Rhinolophus ferrumequinum: one gene and its partner. The protein of the gene in region 2 purifies or fractionates together with the protein of the main gene of each other region. This does not show direct contact. Links are inferred from orthologs where the notes say so. Each region holds a gene or a part of one and is shown on either strand. Other genes may lie near its edges.

The links.
Region 1: the proteins of TUBB (region 2) and ARL2 purify together in Homo sapiens (co-immunoprecipitation; 3 studies listed by BioGRID and IntAct, counting the BioPlex papers as one, with this or other methods). This does not show direct contact. The link is inferred for Rhinolophus ferrumequinum from reciprocal best matches to the Homo sapiens genes TUBB and ARL2.

What each region holds. Positions count from the first base shown.
Region 1 is NC_046294.1:6,581,386-6,589,362, forward strand, and holds the start of ARL2 (ADP-ribosylation factor-like protein 2), read right to left. Parts: upstream 3,503-7,977; 5' UTR 3,414-3,502; coding exon 3,349-3,413; intron 479-3,348; coding exon 368-478; intron 274-367; coding exon 111-273; intron 1-110. UniProt on the Homo sapiens protein: Small GTP-binding protein which cycles between an inactive GDP-bound and an active GTP-bound form, and the rate of cycling is regulated by guanine nucleotide exchange factors (GEF) and GTPase-activating proteins (GAP).
Region 2 is NC_046286.1:1,311,334-1,319,595, reverse strand, and holds the start of TUBB (tubulin beta chain), read right to left. Parts: upstream 3,576-8,262; 5' UTR 3,391-3,575; coding exon 3,334-3,390; intron 2,004-3,333; coding exon 1,895-2,003; intron 1,648-1,894; coding exon 1,537-1,647; intron 1,248-1,536; coding exon 190-1,247; 3' UTR 1-189. UniProt on the Homo sapiens protein: Tubulin is the major constituent of microtubules, a cylinder consisting of laterally associated linear protofilaments composed of alpha- and beta-tubulin heterodimers.

The DNA of each region.
Region 1 (7,977 bases), on a different chromosome or scaffold from region 2:
GCTGAGGAAGGTGTCCACACATCCACGTATGTGCACAAAGTGTCGGGGCCTGAATACAGGTGGGAGCCCGGCTCCCCCCACAGCCCCCCTCAGCCAGGCCCCCTGCCCACCTCTTCCACCAACAGGTTCTGGAGCTCCCGCTGGCAGTCCTGCATGCGCTGGCGGTCGGCGCTGTCCACCACCCAGATGAGGCCATCGGTGCTCTCAAAGTAGTTCCGCCAGTAGGACCGCAGGGACTTCTGGCCGCCCACATCCCAGATGTTCAGCTTGAATCTGGGCAGGGAGGGGTGGCTGGAAGGTCAGCCTGGCCCCTCGCCCACCCTCCCCACCCTGCTCTGGGCTGCCCGCCCGCAGGGACCCTGCTCACCCCCGGTGTTCCAGGGTCTTGATGTTGAAGCCCAGCGTTGGGGAGATGGTGTCAATGTCTTCTCCATTGAACTTCTTGAGGATGGTTGTTTTGCCAGCGTTGTCCAGGCCGCTGGGGCGCGCCAGGTTAAGGAGAAACCCCCATGCTCTGCAGGGTGGTGAATCATCACAGTGCCCCTCTCTTAGGGGATAAATAATTTCCTACCACCTATCAAAATCAGTGGAGCACATGCCTGACCCATAATCGGCCCAGGATAAATGTGAAAGTATCAAGAAACATATCTTATCATCTCCTGCTGACCAAAGACTCCTGAATTCACTCCGCAATATTTATTGAATACCTTCTCAATGCCAGGCCCTCTTCTGGTGCTGGGGGACCCCGGAGTCAAAGTCTTACCTGTGTGCAGCTTACATTCTAGTGCAGAGACAGTCGACAGGGTACAAACCAAGGAGAAACAAGGTACTATCAGGTCCTGGTGCGTGTTAGAAATACAAGGAGGAGGCTTTCAGAGAGGGCCATCACATCGGAGAAGCTTCCTTCAGCTTGGGTGCCAGGAAAGACCTCTCTGAGGGTTTTGAGCTGAGGTCCAATCTACAAGGCGCCAGCTTTTTGAAGCATTGGGGGAAGAGTGTTCTAGACAGAGGGAACAGCAAGAGCAAGTGTCTGGAGGCAGCGGGTGACCTTGTTTCAGGACTCTTCCAAACCCTGCTGCTGAGTGAGTGTACAAACAAGTGCGTGAGCTCACCAGCCAGAGAGAACCACCCTCCTCTTTCCTTCTAGCACTTAAGGGGTCTGCAGCTGGGAGGGGGGCCCAGGCCTTAGACTCAGTAACCTTTTCCTCACCTGACATGGGTGATTCAAACTAGTGACGTGGGGGTGACAGAGCACCTCTCCTGAGACTCAGACTTAGCCCCTGCTCATTGGCTGCTGACTATTCCCTGACCCCTAACTCCACCATTCACATTTCCTTCCCCACTGGATCATTCCCCTCAACTGATACCCTCTGGCGTCTCTCCCCCCTTAGAAGCAGCAAACATCATCCTCTCTATCCCTCCCCCCCTTACTTATTCCTTTATTTCCCCCCTTTACAGCAAATCCATACTCCTGTGTCCACACTCATCCTCTCCAATTTCTGTCCTCCTGCTCTTTCTTGAACCCATGAGGCTTTTGCTCGCCCTGCTTCCCCACAACTGCTCTTGCCAATGTCGGTCCCTAAGGACCCCCATGTTGCCCTCCAAGGGCTGGGCAGTCCTCAGTCCTCATCCTTCTGCTCCACCAGCAGCACCTGACCGAGTAGCCTGTGCCTTCCTCCACTCCAGGACACATCTGGCCACTCCTCATCTCCCTGACCTCCTGAACTAGGAACACCTCGGTTCCCTCGTCTGTCCACGCTTTTGATGATCTCATCTAGGATCACAGCTTCAAATACCATCTTTATGCTGATGACTCCCAAATGTATATGTCTCACCCAGCTGCCAAAAGTGAACTCCCATCTTCCCTTTGAACTTGCTCCCTGCCCGCTTCTCTATCCAAGCAAATGGCTCCTCATTCTTCTAATTGCTCAGGCCAGAAACCTAGCAGTCATATTTGACTTCTCTCTCTCTCTCTCTCTCTCTCTCTCTCTCTCTCTCTCTCCCCAGCAATTCCTGCTGGCCTACTGTCAAAATGCCCCCAACTTCCATCACCTTGAGCCACCATCTATCTCACCTGGTTTGAGCCACCATCCTATCTCATCCGCGATACTGCAGTGGCCTAACTATTCTCAGAGCACATCTCCCCTCCACACTTCTCATTTAAAGGAAAAGCCAAGAAGCGAAAGGTCCTACAGTGAGGCCCTTCCATCACCCTTCTGTCCTAACCTAGTACTCTCCTCCTGCCACACTGCCCTCCTTAACATTCCTTTGAAGACCCTCTTGAGTTCATCCTTCCAGGCATTTGCATTTGCTGTTCCCTTTGCTTAAACAATTTCCCCCAGATATCTACATGATTCGGTCCCTCACCTCCGATTCACTCTTAACGTGGCCTCTTTAACCCCCTTATTTAAATGCATCCTCCTCCATACATACGATATATTTTACTTATTTGCTTTGTTAACATCTTTCTCCTTCCAGCATTATATAATGTCCATGAAGGAAGGGGTTGTTTTTGTTTTGCTGTTTTACCCCAGCCCCTAGGACAGTGCCTAGCACAGAGTAGGTGCTCAAAAAATATTTATTGGATGAGTGAATTCTCTGAGCCTTTCAAAGAACTCTTTAAACAGACATGATGTGAATATTATTGGAGTTATTTGTGCACGTGTCTTCTCTCCCTGCTAGGGGAGCTGGGGGTGAGGGCAGCCCAGCTCTTGGATGGCAGAGTCCACGCGGGGCCTGGCACAAAGTAATACAGACGCCTGCTAATGGGACTCGGAAGGTCGGCGGGGCCCTCGGGCCTACAACCCGTCAGCCAAAAACCACGGGGTCGTGCAGCAGCAAACAAACACGACTACTGGACCCACTGGCGAACGAACCCACCGAGGCCACACACGCCTCTCCCGGGAGCTGAGGACGGTGCCCTCACGCCCCCGGGATTCCGACCTTGAGGGCGGGGCCCGGGCCTGAGGCCGGCCCCCACGGGCAGGGGGAGGAGGTTAGAGCCCAGGAGAACCGAGGCCCCAAGCCTGGGCCAGACCAAAGGGTGGTGTGGCGTCAGAGTCACCTCCAGGACCCACTTCCCCTCTACACCGGGGCACCTGGTGCGGCCGCTGCGCCATGAGGCTCACACCTTTGCCTTGAAAACGGATTTCCCCCGCCCCGAGTCGATGGTACGGCCTCCTCCCGGGCCCCCGCCGCAAGTGATTGGTAGTCCCCACGTGCGTGACGCACAATGGGCAGTTGGGACGGGCCGGCCGGCCGCTCACCCTGCGCCCGGTAGGGGGCGCCTGGTGCCGCCTGCCCGGCGGGGCCCCGCTACCCTGGCCGCTTCTGCGTCCGGGAGGATACAGCATGAGTAGTCGCAGCTCCCGCTCTTTCTGCTTCATCTTCTTCAGGATGGTCAGAAGGCCCATGGTCCCCGTAACCCCCTCCTGGCCGCCGTTGCTTCCTAGTCCCGGGACCCCTCGCCCTGCTCCTATTGGCTATCACGCCCACTGACAACACAGCCTATTGGCGGGCCCCTCGCTTGGTCCCGCCCTCATTCCCACGTGACCGCGAAGTCACCCATTGGTGCCTCTGCGAAGGTCCCTCTAGCGGTGATGGGGACTTCTGCGCTAACTCTTCACCAACCTGCAGTTAACCCTTCGCATACCGAGGGCTTGAAGGACGAGAGCACCGCCATTCCTTCCTCTCCAGGACCCCAGGCTCAAATGGGAACGGAAACCTGAAGTTCCTGGATTGTGTTTTGGCTGCATAGGAAGTAAGAAGAGGCAGGAGTCAGAACCAATGGAGAGCCCCAAGATTGTTGATGAGTTTATCCTTTGGCCAGTGTAAGGCTCTGTGGAGACAGAGTCCCAGAGAGCAGTTTCCAGGCTCTTGGTCTCACGTGGAAAGGTGCTGGCTTGGTTATTAGATGGCCATCAGCTATAATCAGATGGGCATTAGCTGTTACCGATTAGCCATCAGCCACTAATATAACTGTCCTCGCTCCGCAAAGGGGTTGGTTGGCAGAGAAGTGACTTCGGATTGTGGTTGGCAAGTGCGGTTAGCAAGCAGATGGATTGCGGATCGTGTGAATCCTACTTCCAGTGTCTCGCCTGGCTGCCAGAGAGAGGGGTGCAGGAAGACCCCGCATTGGGGTACTGGTGGATGTTTGCTTTTGTGTCTCAACCAGCCGCCATTGAGAATATAGTGGTATGACTCCCCTATCTATGGCTCCGTTGGTGCTCCTTTTCGGCCTCACCATATCCTGCGTTTTTGTGTGGGGCACGGGACCAGCAGCTCTGCTCCCTGAAAACATGGTCCAGATCCTCCTCATCTTGGTTGGACCTAGGGTGTCATCCTGAACCTGCCAGTTACAAGGCCTCCCCCTTTCCCTGGCACCTGGAGTCATAGAGGGAGGGCGGGGGTTCTCCATCAAGGGAGAAAATGCCATGAAGGGCGTTTTCAAAATGTGACAGGGCATCATTGGGTTGTCCCAATTACCAGGGAGGTCCCTGTCACTTAGAGGGCGGGGTACAGACCTGCACAAAGAATTATCCCACCCAATGTGCCCATCATTTGTCTATTTCTTTTGCAGATGAGAAAGTTAAGGCTCACATGGTGCTTAGCACCCTGACTGGCATATAGTAGATATTCAAATATTTGTTGTTGAATGAATGACTTTATCCAAGAGTTTGGTTCTTTACCTTAGTGCTTGAGTCCAGAAAATAATGAGGAAACTGAGGCCAGGGACTAGGCAGAGTGTAAACTCAAAAAGGTGAGCCTTATTGTCTTATTTTGAGCCCTTTCCCCCAGCCTACCACAGGGTAAATGTGAGTGGGCAACACAGAAGGTTCTAATGCTTGGGGCAGTCAGGCACCAGCTGAAGATAATGGCTAGCTTCTGTGTGACTGTTTATAAAGTACTCCACATTTTCTACTTCATCCTCCTGACAACCCTGAGAGGTCTGTTTCCTTTTTGGAGATGTGATAGTGGAGTCCAGAGAATGAAGGAGCTGCGACAGCAATTTAAACTCAGATCTGAACTGGAAAGTGCACTGTTTTCCTGGTTCCTAAGAAATCTAAGTGCCTTCAGTGGGGATCAGTTACTTAAGCTGGGGTACATGTGTGTGTGTGTGTGTGGGGGGGTTTCATGAAACCTTTGAGAAAGGAGAGGTGGAGCTATAATGTGCCTGCGTGGAAAGATGTCCATGCCAAATTAAGTGAACTTTAGTACCATTATAATTTTTAAAATGACAATAACTCACTAAACAATGTTTTTCAAACTGTGGTATGCAGCCCCTTCAGGAGATTGTGAAATTAGTGTCACAAATACATTGAATCATATGTAATCGCCCATGTTGACTACTAAGATATCAGTCAGTTTCATGTGTTCAACCTAGAAGCACTAGCAAAAATTAAATAGAATGAACAGAACAGAAAGCATTGCTGCCTTTGCCCATTAAGTAAAAGTTTATAGTGTTTGTTAAAATGTGTTTCAGATATTTATATGGATGTATGTACTTCTCAACTAAGAGTCAGTCACAAAAATTTGAAAATCACTGCAATTCAACTGATACTTCTGGAACAGGTTTGAGGGGGACTTCAAATTATTACCTGAAGCACTTCTGGATTGTTTTACGTTACTAACTGCCATGAGCATTGAAATCCTTGTTTTAATGTCAGGCTTCCGGCCCTGCCCAGTTCCAAGCAGTTATTGCGGCTTCCCCGGGTCCACATAGTAGATAACGATGAATATCAACTGAAAAATCAACCTGGAAGCTCTGTAAAATAGTCGGAGACCAGGAAGCAGTTGTTTTGAATAATAATTGCATGTAGCTAGAAATGGGGTGGGGGGGAAGAGGGGCTTTTAAAGACAAGTGTACGTAGGAGCCTACTGGCAGGCAGTGTTTTCATTTGCCTTCTGGAAAGAAGGAAAGGGTGCTCTTAAGGAAATAAAATCTCTAGGGAATATGTTTGGAAGAAAACTGGGAAAGAAGATCTCTAGAGCTGTAGTTATATATAGCTATGAATATATATATTCACGAGAAAGAATCGTGAAATTAAAATACCCAAATCCTGAGAGCTGTGAAACCCGCTTTTGAAGGGAGAGTTTCTTAGGGCTAAGTAAGTGGATTGTAACTTGAGGATGGAGTTCTAGATGCCTTTTATTTATTTTATTTTTTATTATTAGTTTTTAAATTTTTAAAATTTATTTTAAGTGTGCTTTTCCAGGACCCATCAGCTCCAAGACAAGTAGTTGTTTCAATCTAGTTGTGGAGGGCGCAGCTCACAGTGGCCCATGTGGGAATTGAACCCATTACCTTGTTGTTAAGAGCACCTCGCTTTAACCAACTGAGCTACCCGGCTGCCCCCGGGATGCTTTTTAAAGAGGTGTGTTACCCAATGTGTGGGGAAGAAAATTTGGCATTATAGTTTTAATTTTAAGAGATATAGCCTCTTTGATCCATCCATACACTTCCTGTATCACCTTTTTAATCATAAAAGAAAAATAACAAAACTCTTTTTATCCTGGAACAACAACAACAAAGAAAGCCAGGGGAAAAGAGTGTGCCCCCTAATCCCTGGAATGGCAACTGCCTATGGACCCCAGTTCTGCCCTGGCTTGCTCTAGTGCTCCCACGCCATCTCCTTGTCTGCCTTAAGAATCCAAGGGTGGCCCTGTCCCCACTTGGTGCATACAATGAGCAAGCCACAGCTGAATGCTTCAAAGAACAAGTCAGAGTGTTCAAGCATCTTCCTTATAGGTTTCAACCCAGCTGCCTGGAGTGGGAGGCAGATGAGGTGTCCTTTCCAACTTCCAGATAACGAAATGAGCTCTTCCTCACACCCCTGTCATCCATCCAAGGGCACGTGACATCTCCAGTCTTTTTCAGAACCTGAGGAGCGGGGGAAGGACTTGGAAATCTGAGCTCTTCCAATAACACGTCCATGTTCACCTCCCCTGTGCCTGTGGCATCCTCCACAGGCTGCTCGATGCTTCCTGTCGCTACAGGGCAAGATGGGGGAGTGAGGAGGGAGTAGTTGCTGAGCCTTCACTCAGCCACCTGAGAGCCAGGTACCCTCTTATCTCCACTTGACAGATGAGCCAGGAGCTCCACTCACCGAGATGGCTAAAGCAGCCTCTCGCCGTTCCTCTTCCCCAAGGCAGAGGGACCTTTCTAACCGGTGCACCAATCTTGTCCCTCCTCCGCTTAAAGCCCTTGGCTGTGTGCTGTCCCCTGGCTGCTCCCTGTATCTTTCAGAGTCGGAGCCCGAGTTCTCCAGTGGCCAATGAGGACCTGCATGAATTGCCTTCGCAACTCTCTACTGGGAGTGCCTGCTTCTCTCCTCATCCCTTTATCAATTCTCCAATCCACCAGCGCATTCCTGCTGCCCCTAATCCATACCTCCCTGCTACCTCCCTCTCTTCAATGCTTTGCTCAAATGTCCAATATCTCAAAAAAAATTTATTGTTTCAATATCTCAGTGAGGCCCAGTCCTGACCACCCTATTTAAAGTTGAAACCACTCATCCCCCATCCACATTCCCCAAATCCTTTATTTTGGTTTATATTCATTCCCCCATGACACTTAAGGCCTCTACTAGCCTGTGTAATTCCCTTAATTGGTTACATTTATTCTCCCCATCCCTCCATCCCTACTAGAATGATAGCTCCACAAGGGTTGGGATTTGCACTCCCCCCCCCCTTAGTTTTATTGAAAAATAATTGATGTACAGCACTATACAAGGTCTGACAATTAACTTCACAAACTTGCCACCGCGCGCTTACATTGGTAGCGCTGTACACACAGCTCAGTAAGGTTTCATAACCTTGGTGTGTCAGTGTCTCACAGCTGTGTTCGTGTCGATTTGTGGCGGTGTCTTGCTGAGTGGAATTCATTATTGTGTATTTTTGTGTGCTGATACGAGAATGTTTGAGCTTGAATTAGAGCAACGAACAAACATTAAATTTCTTGTTGAACTTGGCAGGAGT
Region 2 (8,262 bases):
ACATTCAACAAACAACGAATATTTATTGAGCGCCCATTTATGTGCCAGGCACTGTTCTAGAACCACCACCCCCCCAAAGAAAAAAGATAGTGGCAGAAAATGCAAATTCTGAGGGAGAGTAAAAGGGCAGCTGAGGAAGAAGGCTGAATGAAGGAACTGAGACGCCTGAGTGATGGACAGGGCTTGGCCTTAGGCCTCCTCTTCGGCCTCCTCACCGAAATCCTCCTCCTCTTCTGCGGTGGCATCCTGGTACTGCTGGTACTCGGACACCAGGTCGTTCATGTTGCTCTCGGCCTCGGTGAACTCCATCTCGTCCATGCCCTCGCCTGTGTACCAGTGCAGGAAGGCCTTGCGCCGGAACATGGCCGTGAACTGCTCTGAGATGCGCTTGAACAGCTCCTGGATGGCCGTGCTGTTGCCAATGAAGGTGACCGCCATCTTCAGGCCGCGGGGTGGGATGTCGCACACGGCTGTCTTCACGTTGTTGGGGATCCACTCCACGAAGTAGCTGCTGTTCTTGTTCTGCACGTTGAGCATCTGCTCGTCCACCTCCTTCATGGACATGCGGCCCCGGAACACGGCAGCCACAGTCAGGTAGCGGCCGTGGCGGGGGTCACAGGCGGCCATCATGTTCTTGGCATCGAATACCTGCTGGGTGAGTTCGGGCACAGTGAGGGCCCGATACTGCTGGCTTCCACGGCTGGTTAGAGGGGCAAAGCCAGGCATGAAGAAGTGGAGGCGTGGGAAGGGCACCATGTTGACTGCAAGCTTGCGGAGGTCAGCATTGAGCTGGCCAGGGAAGCGGAGGCAGGTGGTGACCCCGCTCATGGTGGCTGAGACGAGGTGGTTCAGGTCCCCATAGGTTGGTGTGGTCAGCTTGAGGGTGCGGAAGCAGATGTCATAAAGGGCCTCGTTGTCAATGCAGTAGGTCTCATCAGTGTTCTCTACCAGCTGGTGGACGGAGAGGGTGGCGTTGTAGGGCTCCACCACCGTGTCGGACACCTTGGGCGACGGCACCACGCTGAAGGTGTTCATGATGCGGTCGGGATACTCTTCCCGGATCTTGCTGATGAGCAGTGTGCCCATCCCGGACCCCGTGCCGCCCCCCAGCGAGTGGGTCAGCTGGAAGCCCTGCAGGCAGTCACAGCTCTCAGCCTCCTTCCGCACCACGTCCAGGACCGAGTCAACCAGCTCGGCCCCCTCTGTATAGTGGCCCTTGGCCCAGTTGTTGCCTGCCCCAGATTGACCTGGAATCAGGAGGCAAGCTTGATTAGTAAAATGTGGCACATACACAACCACGTTTCCACCTTTCAGTTTTTGGAACAATGCCTGTGGATCGATCTACTTTCCTCCCTCACCAGTGATATATCACCCCCATAATTTACCATCTAAGGCAGCCACACCCCCACCCTCCATTACATCCCAGAACACAGCCCTATAAAAACTCTCAAGCACAACAATCATTTCCTAACTCTTGCTGTCCCCTTGCACACAAATAAATTGAATATGGTATCTACAAATATCTGTGTAACTCACCAAAAACAAAGTTGTCTGGTCTGAAGATCTGGCCAAAAGGACCTGAGCGAACAGAGTCCATGGTCCCGGGTTCTAGATCCACCAAGATCGCACGAGGAACATACTTTCCACCTACGTGTAAGAATGTATAGCCGGGAAAATTAGTACCTAGAAGGTAAATAAACTGGGGCTGGGTGACAGCTAGGGACCTAAACTTGTGATTCCAGGCGCTGCCACCAGGTGGCAGCAGAGCTAGCCTTTGGCAATGGGTGGTGGGAATCAGAGAGAGGAAGATCTCCAAAGGGAGAGGATGGATTCGTCCAAAGGGTGGAGACCCCAGAAGTGGGAAAGGAGATGAGACCGGAGCTCCTTCCCTCACCTGTGGCTTCATTGTAATACACGGAGATGCGATCCAGCTGCAGGTCACTGTCGCCGTGGTAAGTGCCAGTGGGGTCGATGCCATGTTCATCACTGATCACCTCCCAGAACTGTGGAGAAAGAACAATGAACCGTCAACGTCTCAGGTCCCAGCCGATTATGACCCTGCCTCCACCTAACTGCCAGCCACGCCATTCCCCTAGGCACCCCCACACCTGGGAAAGCTGCAGCTTTCACTGCTTGGAATGTGAAATGATGTCCAGCTGGAAAGGCCTGGAGATCGCAGACACCCGGCTAGGCCGAGGCAGCCAACCTGATTAGGTAAGTGTACCCCTCGCCCCCCACGCTGGGCACCGCCCCTCCACGCCGCGCACAAAGAGCCGGGGTAACCAGGGGCCGCAGTCGCCCACCGCCAGCCGCCCACAAGACTGTAGCAAAAGCGCGCGCCCAGCCATCGACAAAGGGAGGGGTCGCGCGTGGGCGGAGCCGAAGCGCGAATTCAGCGCGCGAGGGGCGGGACCTGGCTCGGGCTAGCGCGCCACCTGGTGGCCGGCAGGGCCACAGTCCCCGCCCTGCAGGGCCCTGCCCTTCTGCTACAACGTAGCAGCCGCACTTCCTCCCGGCTACACTGTACCCGCGCGCAAAAAAAAAAAAAAAAAAAAAAAAAATCCCCTCTTGGTCTCGGAATTTTATCCCTTCACTAGCTTTCCCCTCTTGCTTAAAATGAGGATCCTCTTCTTTCCATTTAGTCCCGAGAGACCCTTTAGAGAAAAAAAACCCTTCTCCCGCCCTCTTTCTTATCTGTCCAAGCCCGAAAGGGTCTCTTTAAAGCGAAATAAAGGAAGCAAAATGAATCCAGCACATATTAGCCTTCCACCCACGAAAAACTATGGGCCTGCCCCACGGGGATCGTGGGCGCGTGGAGATCTCTATCTACTCTTTTGTAGAGGTAACGCGCAGTGCAGCCCACCCTACAGCACCACGTCCCCCACCTTTATGGAGCCGGGCACTGCAGCTCTCCACCCCCAACCTCCCCTCTTCGCCCTCGGGCTTGGCCCTACGAAGACCCGCCAAGGGGGTTGGATGCACATGGGGGAACCTCGCCTTGCTTTGTCTCGGCGAGTTTCCGCATCTCCCTCCCTCCCTGGCCCTCGGACCGTTAGATCTCCTTTAAGTAAAACCTTACAGAACCTCGGTCTTCCCGCCCCCCAATCCTCAAGGGTGCTTTTGATAGCTTCCCAAAATGAGTGTCAAGAAAAATAATTCTCCATTTTTCAAATGCAAATTATAGCTACAAATATGTGTTATACATATAAAACTTCTTTGGGGCAAATATTGACTAAGGATGGAGACTGCAAACAGCCCACAACCATTCTCCATAATTTGTACTTTTTTCTTCTCAAAAAGAAGTAAGAGTTAAAAAAGGTTTAAAATCTTTACCTTAGCACCGATCTGGTTGCCACACTGGCCGGCCTGGATGTGCACGATTTCCCTCATGGTTCAAATTTAATTTTTTTTTTTTTTTGCTCGCCTCAAGGTGTGTACGGGGCAAGAAAATATGTAATTTTTTTTCTCTGTTGCTGGTCGCAGGCTGGAAGGATGGGACGCGCCCCGGAGGTTGGAGCAGCTAGGTCCGAACGCGACGGCAGGAAGGTTCTGAGAGGGAGAAAGAAGAGGGCAGGGCGCTGGAGGGAAGGCGGGCAGGGCGGGGCGCGCGTGCGCCGGGCTGGGAGGCGGGAGAAGGCTCCCGCGCAGCACTTGCGAGACAAAGCCTCCGCGAGGCAGGCCCTGATTAGTCGATGCCGTTTAGGTAGTCTATGTCCATTGGTCTCTGCTCTGGGCGAGCGCAGTCTTCTCTGGGAGTTGTAGTCCTCTATTGTTGTCCACGCTGCAAAATGAAGGGACAAATGGGTGGACACTGGCTTTAGGTTTTTGGCGTTTTTTTGAAAAATGACCTTGCCCAAGATGACTTTCCTCTATGCCTGAGTTGTTTTTTGTTTTGTTTTTTTAATGCAAAAAGCGAGTCGTTTGGGATCTACAGGAATTAGGAACCCTAGGGTGCCAGGCATTGGACGGTGGAGTGGGCACACCCTGAAAGCTCCCCGCTGTGGTCGCTCTTGGGAAGACAGGACTGCTTAGCTCAGCGAAAAATGGTGAGAAACGGGCACCCTGCTCTGCTATCTAACTACTGGCCCTTTGGTGACCGAAAGCATGAGCTTCACTAAGCCGCTGCTTCCCCAGCTATCCCAGGAAGAAGGAGGGGATTGCCTTCCTGCTATTTCCTTGGGAGTTTTCTAATGATAATGTTTAGAATGTTTTCTAATGATAATTGCAACAGGGGCTTTGCAGGATAGAGATGTAATTGGAGGGTATGTTCAAAGAATAAATGGAATGGTTTAGAGAAGCTGATATCTTGGGATCTGTGAAGCGGGAAGTCTCCGTCCATGTAAGAGATCTGGTTCTTGGAGCAGCGTTGAAGACTGTGGTCTTGTCAAAAAGAATTATGGGGTGAAACACCTGATAGAATTTCAGAGTCTTTCCAGCCTGCCCTTAGACACTTTGATGAAGTGAGTGGTTTCTCAATTTGTTGATTTCATTGACTGACCATTGCAACCTTTCAAGAGCCTCAGAATTGAAATTTTAAAATGGCGGGGGGGGGGGGGGATTCATGGAAGAAAAATTGGATAGGCTCAAATCAGAGTGACATGCTTCTCAGGGATTAACTCACTTGATAGATACTAAGTGTCCACCAAACCAGAAGCTAGGGATACAAAAAATGATTATGAATTAGTTCCTGGCTTCCAAGATCTTGCAATCTGGTGAGAAGTGTATACACAATAAAGTGTGGTAAGTACTGTAACAGACGACATGTGATATCAAGGTCATCATTAATTCACATTAAATTCAACACATCTCTCAGTCATCTTTTAAAGAACATCAAGTTGTGTATGACCCCTCTATCCACTTATAACAGAATGTTTTATGTTTTAGGGCATGATCACAATGAAAGTAGTTATTTTGTGGTAGTGGAGAGAGTTCAGAATTTAAAATCGGAATTTAAAATTGTTTTAATTTGTCTCTACCTTACCTTAGCTGTAGGAACTTAGCTAGGTCATTTAACTTCGCAGAACTTCACTTCCCTCTGTAAAATCTACTTCTGCCTATTTGATTGTTGTGGTCAGAATGGAGTAACGAAAGCAAAAGGACTTTCTAGATTACATACACGTCAAAATTGTTACCATCCTCTTGTCTTAGTATGAGATAATTAAATAAATGATTTTATCATCCTTTCTTCAGTTCTTGGAAGAACTCGATCAGCCTTTAAGATGGTTAGCAAAACGGTTCACTTTTGGCCTAGGGATCTTTGTTTTAGGAAAATGACCTCAAAAGTCTATCAGGGCTGTATTCTCAGGGAGGAAATGACATGACTTTACTAAACGGGCCAAATCAAAAGGAAATGAACTTCTATCGCAGTGAGAAGTCCTCAGGCGCCACGCCTGAAGGCTGTTCTCCAAATTGCAGCCTCAGGCCACGACTGCAACCCGCAACCCATTTTCATTTATGAGTCAGCAGCCACCATGTCTGGGAAGACCTAGGAAGGGCGTTCTGGCCGCACTAGATGCGCCGGGCGACGACTATGGAAAGCCCCTCTAGGCGCTACCGGCAGGGAGACTCTCTGGTCGTGGCTTGGATGTCTGCGCGGGAAGGGGGCGGTGGGCGGTGAAGCGGTAGTGGGCGGTCCCTTGGAGCTGCCCAATCGAGGTGCGCTATTCTGAGCGCGCACGCGACCTCCGCCTCTCAACCGATCTCAGTCTCCCGGGGAAAGCCAGCCCTTTGAGCCGGAAGTGGGCGGGCAGGAGGCGGGGCTTTGACTTGCCTCCGCATTGGGGGCTTCGTCAATCGGCTTGCAGCAGGGCTGTGAAAGACAGCAGCCGGAACCAATCACCGAATAGGCTCCGACTACAGCGCTCGCGCCCCTCGGTTCGCGACCGTTATTGGTGGCGCGCGCGGGGACTCAAAGTAGGTGAGTTGTTGGGGGCCTCTCCCGCCGCTCCCCGGGTGCCATCTTGGTTCTCCCGGAGGGCGGGAGGGGCGTGCCTTGGGTACGACTGGGCGGAGGAGACTAGGAAATTTTCTTTTCGGATTATAATACTCATCCTTAATTGACTCCCCGCCCTGAGTTTAGGTATGAAGTCACTGGGAGACCGCTGGGCCTGGAGGGAACCCACCCCGGTGGGGATCAAAGGGGTTGGCCTATTGGATTGGAGCCGAGGGTCGTAGGTATCCGCTGAGTCTCCACTGGAGGCGTCCTACTTTCCCTGTCAACGGTTTCGCCCTAGGGTGGCATCTCTAAGTGAATTCCACTCTTGCTATTTTGAGTTTTCATCTGCTTTCATTGGTTCTTTCATCAGTAGACTCTATGGTGTAACATCCTGGAGGGCAGGGTTAGTTTTATGTTTGGTTCATGAATGTATATCCCTAATACTTGTAACGGTTCCGGGTGCAGAATAACTGCTGTTGAGAGAATATGATGGACCCTAGGGAAAAAAACAGTTTTGATGGTCCAGTTCTCCGAGAGGGGTTGGGGGGGGCGGGTGAAAGCAGAAATAGAAAGTAATGGTTATGTAATAATATAGTAAGAAGTGTCAGGATATGTGCAAGTCCATTGACCACCGTGGAACATGTGAATACATCAGGAACACCAGTAAGCAGAGAAGACTCCAGGAAAGGCTTTACTGAGGAAGGGAGGTTTGAACTGAATCGGAAAGGATGGGTAGGAGTTGGACCAGAAAGCTACGAGCAACCGGCCAAGGAATTGGTTTAAGGCACGCAGATATGGGGGACAATAGGGACAGTGTGTTCAAAGATTGGGGAGAAGGTCCATGTGGCTGAACTTGTCGGTTTTGGTGGGCAGGGAATACATTGCAGGACATGAGGTTCAGATTGTGGAGGCTCTTGCTAAGGAGTTTAGATTTTGTTTTATACAATGGGCCTGGAAAGGTGTCAAAGAATATTAAACAGAGGAGAGACATAATCTGGGTGATCTTGGGCAAGTTTCTTAATCCAACTGTGTTGCAGTTTTTTTATCTGAGATATAGAAGATAAATAATACTTTACGGGGTTCTTGTGATTATTAAATGAGTCAGTTGATCTGATCACATTGAGATAGTCCGATAAAATGTAAAAAGCATGGGCTTTGCAGCCAGAGCACATTTATTCCTGCCTTTCCACTTACCTGATATGTCATCCTGAGCAAATACTTAATATTTTTAGCCTTAGTTTCCTAAATTCCTGCCTTGTATGGCTACTATACTTGACCATAACATAATGTTTGGCAAAATTTAGCTCCCTTTAACATGGTGTTTTTCAAACTGTGAGTGGCAACCCAGTAGTGGATATTAAATCAATTTAGTGAGTTGCAAATCGACATTTAAAAATAGAATAGAAAAAAAATAGAATAACATGAAAACTAGCTGTGTATTGCATATAATAAGGCTAACCATTGTTTCTGAAAACATTTGTCTATATAAATAAGTTTGTGTGTTTGCATATACAGAGATTCTCCAAGTTACAATTGTTTGGCTTAGGATTTTGGGACTTTACAATATGGCAAAAGTGATACACATAATAAATTACATGAGATACTCAACACTTTGTTATAAAATAGGCTTTGCATTAGATGATTTTGCTCAAGTGTAGTCTGATGTATGTTCTGAGTACATAAAAGGTAAGCTAGGCTTAGCTATGATGTTCAGTAGGTTAGGTGTATTAAATGCATTTTTTACATAGGATATTTTCAACTTACTATGGGTTTATTGGGATGTAACTACATTGTAAGTCGAGGAGCATCTAGTTGTGAACTTGGAACCTGATAAAATTTATTTCTTATTCTGTGTCATGATCAAAATATTTTTTCAGTGCTTCAGATGGTTAACAACAGAATGCTTGGCATAAAGCGAAGCTTCAACTTCCATAGCTATCCAGGTTTGCCCCCAGTTGTGAGTTTCCTCTCCGAGACTGTGTGTGTGAACCTATGTTAGAGATTATGATGCTGCTAATGTGTTTCCTTCCCAGATCATGGAGGACACTCAGGCTATTAACTGGGAGGCTGAAGAAGAGGAAGAGACAGAGAGGCCCAGTGAATCCTTGGGGTGTATCTTGGAGCCCTTAGGACGACTGCATATTTTTAGTAGTGCCCACGGACCAGAAAAAGGTCAGGCAGTATTTGGGTACTGAAGTACTGGTCTGTGGGGAGGTAGTTGGAGGGTTGTAAGAAGCTTTTATTTATTTTTATTTATTCATTTATTATTTCTCCCCCTTCTTCCACCTCCCCCCCACGCTGGTTCAAGCCGTTATTTCTCAGTCTAG